2 linked regions of the Oryzias latipes genome follow. The protein of the gene in region 2 purifies or fractionates together with the protein of the main gene of each other region. This does not show direct contact. Links are inferred from orthologs where the notes say so. Each region holds a gene or a part of one and is shown on either strand. Other genes may lie near its edges.

What was found.
Region 1: the proteins of kdm8 (region 2) and rccd1 purify together in Homo sapiens (co-immunoprecipitation; 3 studies listed by BioGRID and IntAct, counting the BioPlex papers as one, with this or other methods). This does not show direct contact. The link is inferred for Oryzias latipes from reciprocal best matches to the Homo sapiens genes KDM8 and RCCD1.

The regions. Positions count from the first base shown.
Region 1 is NC_019864.2:22,113,679-22,118,098, forward strand, and holds rccd1 (RCC1 domain-containing protein 1), read right to left. Parts: upstream 2,879-4,420; 5' UTR 2,766-2,878; coding exon 2,567-2,765; intron 2,485-2,566; coding exon 2,281-2,484; intron 1,997-2,280; coding exon 1,834-1,996; intron 1,397-1,833; coding exon 1,275-1,396; intron 1,186-1,274; coding exon 1,081-1,185; intron 875-1,080; coding exon 734-874; intron 640-733; coding exon 610-639; intron 510-609; coding exon 316-509; 3' UTR 241-315; downstream 1-240. Other genes in the region: cib1 (calcium and integrin-binding protein 1), read left to right, coding at 53-74; unc45a (protein unc-45 homolog A), read right to left, coding at 3,831-4,112, 4,198-4,353. UniProt on the Homo sapiens protein: Plays a role in transcriptional repression of satellite repeats, possibly by regulating H3K36 methylation levels in centromeric regions together with KDM8.
Region 2 is NC_019866.2:7,578,863-7,583,177, reverse strand, and holds the start of kdm8 (jmjC domain-containing protein 5), read left to right. Parts: upstream 1-1,263; 5' UTR 1,264-1,406; intron 1,407-2,156; 5' UTR 2,157-2,180; coding exon 2,181-2,636; intron 2,637-3,049; coding exon 3,050-3,222; intron 3,223-4,315. UniProt on the Homo sapiens protein: Bifunctional enzyme that acts both as an endopeptidase and 2-oxoglutarate-dependent monooxygenase.

The sequences.
Region 1 (4,420 bases), on a different chromosome or scaffold from region 2:
ATTCAGCATCGTTCTGCATGTTCTAACATTTTCTATAACTTTGTTTTTGCAGCTCATTCAAGATTGTGCTGTAAAGACCTTGACCGGATCACAGAAATACTCAGCTGTAACTTTCATTGTAGTGTCAGTTATAAGTCCAATGATTTTCACAGCTCCGCCTTAAATTTCTACTTACTTGTGAATTAAAATTTCTAAGCTCTTTTTAATGTCTGTATATAAATAGTTTATTATACATTGTGCTTAATTTCCAACGTCTTTATTATACTAAATAAATACAAAATCTCAATTGTTAGAATACTTGTTTGGTATAAAATGTTACTCTCCATGTTTATTGAGAGGTTTTGTGGGATATTCAGGAGCAAGTCCTTCCTCATTGGCAACTGCAGCAAAGGTGTTCCAGGGGCCACACACCACGCCAACAACATGCAGCTGCTGCGCCCTAAAAAACTCCACACGCTGGGGCTCATCTGAACTGCTAAATGATTGGTGTCCAAGTTGGCCATATTCACCTGAAAACACAACGCAATGAGGAGTCATACAGATATAGGCTTTAACACCACATCTCAATTTCATTGGTGGTCTTAAAAGTTTGAGCCTGGTTAAACGTACCCCATCCCCAAGTATAAAGATCCCCAGAAGCTGAAATCAGAAATAACAAAAAAAAAAGATTATTGACATACATTTGTCAAACATCGATCTAAGATGGACATAAACCTTGTAAAGAGACTCTTACTTGTTACTGCAGCTGTATGCCGTGAGCCACAACTCACTGTTTTGACCTCACATAATGGAGTGACATCAAACAGGGCTGGGAACGCTTGGATTGAAATGAATACTTCTTCCTGGTGTGTGCTGCTATTTTGGCTTAATTCTCCTATTCAACGTAGATAATGACACAAAAGACTTTAAGATATGACAATGGACATCTAAAGCAACTTAATAAAAACCTAGGCAGTGGCATTTCTATTCTTTCTTATAGCTAATGCTGTTCTTAGCATGGGAAACTGATTTTTGTTCATCTTAAATATTAGTTTTTATTTATATTGAACAGTAGAAAAAAATAATGTATTGCTTGCAAACCTTCCTGTTGGTCCGTCTTCTTTTCTGAAGTTTTTCTCAGCCTTTGTGATGGAAGTCCAAGCTGTCCACTTTCATTCCAGCCCCACACATAAAGGTCTCCAGCATCTAAGAAGGAATATAAACGCAGTTCAGTTTGTTGTCAAAAATGTCTTCTATCACTTTTACACTGCACCTGCGATGCCTTCAGGGCCTACCACTAATGCAGACAGAGTGCCATCCTCCTGCAGATACAGAGCTCATCTTCATCCCCCACAGAGCCTCCACTGTCCTGGGCTCCTCCTCAGGGAGGAGTCCTCCGTGTCCCAACTGACCATGACTGTCATAAAAAATGAAATTAAAAAAAGGCATGCAAACAAATTATTAAAAAAACACACAGAGATACACACAATTAGGGCTGCACAACATGAAAAGGAAACTGCTGTGATCAATATTCACAACATGACTTGCAATACATGAACAAATAGCTGAACAAAATACAAATAAAACATAATCCCCATTTCACTTCAATAAGTCAACACCACTTAAAATATACTCCAAATGACCCTCAACTACATAGCAGGCAGGCAGGCAGGCATCTAACATAACAGGGCTCCATTCAATTGATTAATGACATCCGATTGGTCAAATGCATAAAGCTATGCAATTCGTTAATGTATGCTTCACACTGCCATGAGATTGTTTTAGCATTTGTGTAAACATTTAAGGTAACTTTGTGATTTATGGTGTTTAGTTAGCAGGACGCTCCTGCTGTACCTTCCCTGTCCCCAAGTGTAAACAGCTCCAGTTGCAGTGAGGAGGATGACATGCTCTCCACCCAAAGCGAGGCTCTTGGCTTGCATGTGAGGTGACAAGGAGTGGAAGAACGGAGGTTTGGAGGCTATATAACCACCAGGAACCAGTGGCAAATTGACAGCTGCTAAAAAAAAATAAGAACATAAGGAAAGCAAAGACATTGAGTACACTGCTGTTTGTTATTTAACCCTTGTGCTATCCTAGGCATTTTAACATTGGGAGTGGGGTCATCTAGACCCCACCAGACAGTGCGCTGAACTTTTTTCTTCAATGGTTTGTGATCTTCACTGGTTTCCATGGATTACATGAAATCCTCTCCACCTTTGTCATGGTAGGAATAACACGTCAATGGTCATCTTGACCCCATAGGATCAGGATGGCACAAGGGTTAAACAAGATGCAACTGACCAGAGCTCTTTGACTGGGTGTCAATGCCCATGGTCCATGATGGAGTTTCATCGCTGCTCTGCAGATCCCAGCACTCAACTCTGTCCAGGAAAGCGAGTGTGAGGTGGGACTCACTGATGAAAACATCTCTGCAGCCACGGCTTTGTTTTATAACTCCTCTGCAAGAGTCATTAACGAAACCTGCCACACACACGCAGCCGGCGTCTGATAGACAACAACAAAAATGTTATTCCTAGAAAACAAAAATCAATAAATAACTGTTTCAATCGGGATTTTGAAATCTGACCATCCGAATGCAGCGATGCTCTTCTGCTCCAGCTTGCTCGGATTTGACTAAACTCAAAACAGCGACCATCTCTGTTCACGTGACCTTTCAGCTCAGTCGGACTGCTCAGCCTTTCCTCGGCATCGAGGCCGCTGTATTCTGGATTATTTTGGGTTTGAATTTGTTGAAAAGCATTAAAACCAAACCCAAACCAGCGCATTACATCGGCTTTTGCGTCTTTAAAGGGTTTGTTTCAGAAACTTTTGGGCAGTAGATACAAGACGATTCGGAAACGTCTGCGCATGCGTTGTTGTACTTTTGAATAGCTTTTTTCCCCGTTCAAAAAAACTTTATTTAAAAAAAAGGAAGAAGTAGTTGACAATAGCGTAGTATTTTAAAATTAGAAATAAAAAAAAGTGATAGAAAAAAACAAAATAGGTTGTCATTTTTAAATCCATTGTTGGTAATTTTAGCATGATTCATTTTAAAATCTGAATTAAATGAAAACCGAACAGACAAATGAAAACTTTGTATTAGTCCACCCCAATGTTTTTTAATACAACTGATTAAAAATACAAGTTAAAGCTATATTATTACCCATTTTAATTTGGGTCATAAAGAAAAATAAAATGTACATGTAAGAAAAAGGAATGCCATAAGGATGAAGATGCAAGTCTAGAATAAGCAGTTACAGTTTCTGGAAGTGTATAAAAAATTGAAAAGGGAAGAAGTTAATATTTTCTTTAAAGCAGAGTAAAATAAAAAATAACCAGGTAGTTTGCATGTATTTAAATGTGTTCAACTTTATTAGATAACCGATTTATAAGGTAAGAAAATACATGTGACAAAACGTTACCAAATATAAATTTTGCTTTTCTGTGCACATGTTTAAACTAAATTGCCTTGAGAGCAAACTAAACATAAAGAACTGGAATGTAGTGGAAATAATTGTGCCATAAACGTTTTAAACAAAGTACATCATGTGATTGTGAGATCTTTAGCAGTTCATATTTAAAGAAAGACATGTTAAAATTAGAGGCAATACATAAAAAAGCAAGACCAAAATAGTAGAAAATGTATAATACAGAAGTGGATTCAAGTGGATTTAGTAATTTTGAAGGTCAAAAGCCACATAATATGAGAGCCTGACAACACTCAAATTCTTCTGTCACATGTTTGTTTTTTTAAGAGACCTTTCATAAATTACTTTCAGTTGTAATAAAATTTCCTCTTTCATGTAAATTACAACTCCTAGGTGTCACATCCACACACTGCAGCCGTGTTGTTAGGGCTCAGTTCCTTCCATCTTCCCCTCTCTGCTTCTGATGAGGCCATACTCCACTGCTTTGTCCAGGCAGTCCTTGGCAATCTTTGACACCGGATCAGATGTGCCCTCTCCTCCCTTAGCAAGGACGGTAAGAATCTCCAGGACTTCACTCTCCATAAGCTTCTCAGTCAGATCTCTATCAGCCTGGATCATGTTCTGAACAATGACCACCCCACGATGACGCAGGTCAGATATTTCGCAGAGCAGTAGAGCCTGCATTATCTCCAACCAGTGAGTGGTCTGTAAAGAGAGAGGTTAAGAGTGTAAAACATTAAGTCAGCTATAACACCAGCACGTAAGAATGTTGTCAGAGTGATTTCCATACAGTTCCAGGAATGCGTTTGCAGAGCTCAGGCTGCTCAGACGTCAGCATGGCCAGAGTTCCTGCAGCAGCTTTTCTTAGCCTCTCATCGTCCTCACCACTATAGAGCACAAGTAGCTTCAGCCGATCGTTTCCTGTGGCCAGATACAGCTTCTGAACCTGAGGACACATTACATTGGTGTCTTTTCTTCTTTAGATTTCCAGCACATTCTTTATCTTTAATGAT
Region 2 (4,315 bases):
ATTATAGATCAGAGGTCTGCAACATCTAAAGTGAAAAGTGTAACTTGGGTCTACATCTTAACACCTAAAAACATGCAAGAGTTGCAAAATTCCACTTCACTATTAAGAATAAATTATATTTTTGTGACAATCAGGCCACTCATTCATAAAACGGCATAACGGCTGCACAGCTTTAAAATGTTTTCAATATTTGCAGTACAGCTGTTTAATAAATATATAGCAATAAAAATGATATATTTTTCTATTTATAACAATTTTAAATCTTTTTACTTTTGAAAGTTAAACAAAAAGTTCCTTTCAAAATAAAATGCATCCTATGTCAAATAAGACAGGGCTAAAGTTGCAAGAATGCCAAGTCAAACGTGACATTTACCATCAAATGACTTCGGTGCACTGTCATCCTTTTTCCATTTCCTTACTATCCAAAATAAGCATGACAAGATTGGTGCAGAATACTGGTATTTTTTTTTAGATCCAAAGGCTACTGCAACCAGGAGCTTTGCCTCTGAACATCAACCAGACACTTTGTACAGCCAAAGATAGTAATATGTGCTTTATATGCATCCATATCATCTTGCTCAGTTATCTGACATGTTAAAAATCGAAACATAAATAAAAACCTAACGAAAATAAATGTACCTAAACAAACACCCTACTGTGCATTTTTCTTCAAAACCAAAAAGTCATGATGAAGGGACAAAAGAGTTGCATGTGGCTCCAGAGCCACAGGTTGTGGACTGTTGCAGACCATGTAAGTGTAGAGTAGGAAGTATACTGACTGAATACTTTTTAAGACTAAATTGTTACATTTAAAGTTTACAATATATGCTAAAGGTAGTAAATAAAAAATAAATGTCAATTATAGTGTCTCAATTTCAGCATTCACCAGGCCCAAGAATACTTGTAGTAAACTTAAATAGTATGTTTTGCTAAGGGGAATATTACTGCACACATGCAATACCATGCAAATGACAATTTAAAAAATGTTTAGAGTGTGCATATTCATATTCTCTACAGGTGTACTAAGATTTGAGCATAAAAAATGCAATGCCACTATGATTTTACAACATAATTGGTGTGTAGGGTGAATACACATTAAGGAGCTTCTTAAAAATGAAAGGGTACAAAATGTAATGTTATCATATTTTTTCAAGTGTTACATCATGTACTTTTGTAAATATTTAAAAAGGTTTTCAGGGATTTCGCAGTGTTTTTTGACATCTTTGAACCCTAGATGGAACGAATGTTTCCCGCCGCTGAGTTTCCCTCCGGTGGGGTTTTGTCTGCCCACCGGCAGCGGATTTTTGTTTTGCACCTTCGTTAGCTGTCAAACCTCTTTTTTAAATTAAAAGTAATAATGATAAAATAAAAGATCTGATAAACAGTTTAAAATCTGGATGTGGAAGGTAAAATTTATTGTATTTATTTCCAATTCAGCAGTACGTCAATACGTGTTTTCATTTTGAATAATTTACGGTAACGGTGTAATTTAATTTTAAATATCCTGGGAGTATGGAACTCAAAAGGTGTTCTGTGTTTTTGCAGACTAATTAAATTACCTTAAAGCAACAATGCTTTGTTTTGTAACGTGGGTACCTTTTAAGATTGAATCTAGAAATGGTATAAACCATAGTTACAACATTCTATTGAAAGGAGCAATTATATACATTATATATGCTAAAATAAAAAAGATCACGTGTTAAAATCTATTTTGTGGGATTTTCTACAATCTGAGAGAACCTCGGGGTCAAAGTATTCCATAAAACCATTTTTTTTTCAGCTTAGTCAAGTCAGTACTATTTCCACAGCCATGTTTGTGTCTGTGTAGAAAGGAATCAGGTGCTCAGAGTTTGCCTGTTGGCACCTTTGCAGGAACTGATGGAGTCATGCAGAGGCAGCATTCCAGAGAGCCTGCTGCAATCTTGTCATTCTGCCTGAGTCTCATGCACGGTTCTGGCTCACTGTAGCCTCACCTGTGTGCTTTGTTTGCCAGTTTGCAGGCTGTTGAAGATGAAATAAACAAGCATCCTCTGTGAGGATGTGCTGATAGGAGGCAGATTTTTTGCACTGATTGCCCATAAGTGATCCCATTCCAGCCTCTGAACCATTGTGAATGTATATTTAACATTTTCTTGTGTTCTTTTACCTGTGTTCAGAACAGAAAGACACTCTTCTGATCGATGTCGTCTCTTGGGTCAAAAATCCTCTCCACTCTGCCGGCTGATGAGGAACAGTTCCCTCTGCAGTTCAGCGACAAAGTAGACCCAAGCGTGGTGGAAGTACTGAGGCGCTGTCGGAAGCAGTTGTACGGTAACGCGACGTGCGCCAGCCAGGGGCTCAACGCCCAGATCATTCTAGACATTTCATGGGAAAGATTGAACACAGGGACGTGGCGCCACGTGGACAAGGAATGGAGACGGGTTTACTCGTATGGCTGCCTCTTCAAAGTGGCCGCACTGTGCCGAGAAAATCCATCACAACAGGAGATCCTGGAGGCCGTCAGGACTTGTGACATGGGTTTACTGATGGGTGCGGCCATCATGGATGACATACTCCAGGTTCTTGTTCGAATTCTGCAAAATGAAATAAGCGAAACCAGTAAAGACGAGGAGAAAAGTGTAGAAGTTGTTGCTAAGGTTTGTTATGATTTTCGACACAAAATTACTAAATGTTTTTGTCATTTTGCTCCATCGCTGGTTTTTATTTTTCGCACATGCTAATCCTTTTCATTTCTGGTGGCATTTCATGAAAAAATTGATGCATAAAACATTTTTTTCTATTCCTTTTGCACTTGCCTTTCTCAGACCCGACATGGCTGAGTTTTTTAAATTCACACTTGATAAATGCTCTTTCAAAACTAGCTGAAACATTCAAGGTTGCTGCGAAGAGCTGCACAAAGTTCAAGGATTTTTGGTTATTTCTTCCTCCTGCTGCTTGTTTTTTTTTTAAGCTTGTTTTTTTTTTTATGTTAAGAGGGAGAAAATAACCTTTTACACAGTCCAAACCACATTTCATTGACATGCACGTCTTTTTGTTCTGTCACGAACAGAAATTAAAGACTGAGGGCCCCCGCAGTCCTTCAATCAGAGAAGAGAAGGCAGTGCCCAGGATCAAGTGTCCTTCCCTGGAAAGCTTCAGCACAAACTACCTGCTTCCCCTCAAACCGGTGATTTTAGAAGGAATCATTGACCACTGGCCCGCTCTCAACAACCACCCCTGGAGGTTTGTTTTATTCTCAGGAAACACTAAACTATGGCTGTCAACAGGGGGAAAAAATCATATTTGACTTGTGTTTCCCATTTTTTTTTTTTATTTTGATAGTTTGTAAAACTAACAAGTCAAAAATGTCTTGTTTTTGAAACAACACAGTCTTTCTAATGTTTAGAGTTCTCTGATGCTGCTGAGATGACTGAAACACGCAGAGGAGCATGAGAGTCCTTCATGCTGTGTACAAACATTTACAGGTTTAAGAAACCATAAATAAAAGTTGACATAGTGATGCTGTTTAAACAAAAACGTTTTTTCCCCTGTATTTTATGTTTTAATTTTCAAGAACACATTTTCATCTTTTAAAACAACGCCCTCCAATCATTCTGCAAGCTTTATTAATTTTTTTAAAAATAAACTTGACATCATTTTTGCAAGGATGTCGACCTGATTTATTCAAAGCAGCTTTCTAACTACTTCTTGTGGTTCGATTCTGTCAACCAGCATGACAAAATCCCAGAAAGAAACTTGTAGGTAATAAAAAGCATTAAAAAACAAACAAACTCCATAGGAAAAAACCTTATGAAACCCCAAGGATGGAAATATTCCCCCCAAAAAAGTACAAATGTGCTCAACTACAAGCTAGTAAACCGATTAGGTCTGGTTTAAAACAATAGATTCAAAAAATTCCTGTATTATTTCAGGGACAAACACTGAAATTGAAGGAAAGTAGCAATGGCAGCTATAAAATAAAAGCATGGGGTGGGATTCCCCTGAAGTGTCCTGTGACACTTCAGAAGTGAGAAGTGGGACAAATATTAGAGTTCTGTTCTGCAGAAACAACAGAGTAAAGGATTCTGGGTGTTATGTAGACCTTTTGCTGTTCCTCCCATCTCTCCTGACCTCTGATTGGTTGACAGACCTGTCATCTTTCAAAAGAGATGATAGATTTCTGGGAAAACAGCTAACAAGCTCAACTGCATTGAAAATGGAACAGTCCTTAAAAAGTGGGAGCTCATTTTACAGTAATGTTGGCTATAAAAAAGGATACATTTAGATGGATTTGGTAACTTTAGAAATATTTGCAAAATAGGATTTACTCCAGTCA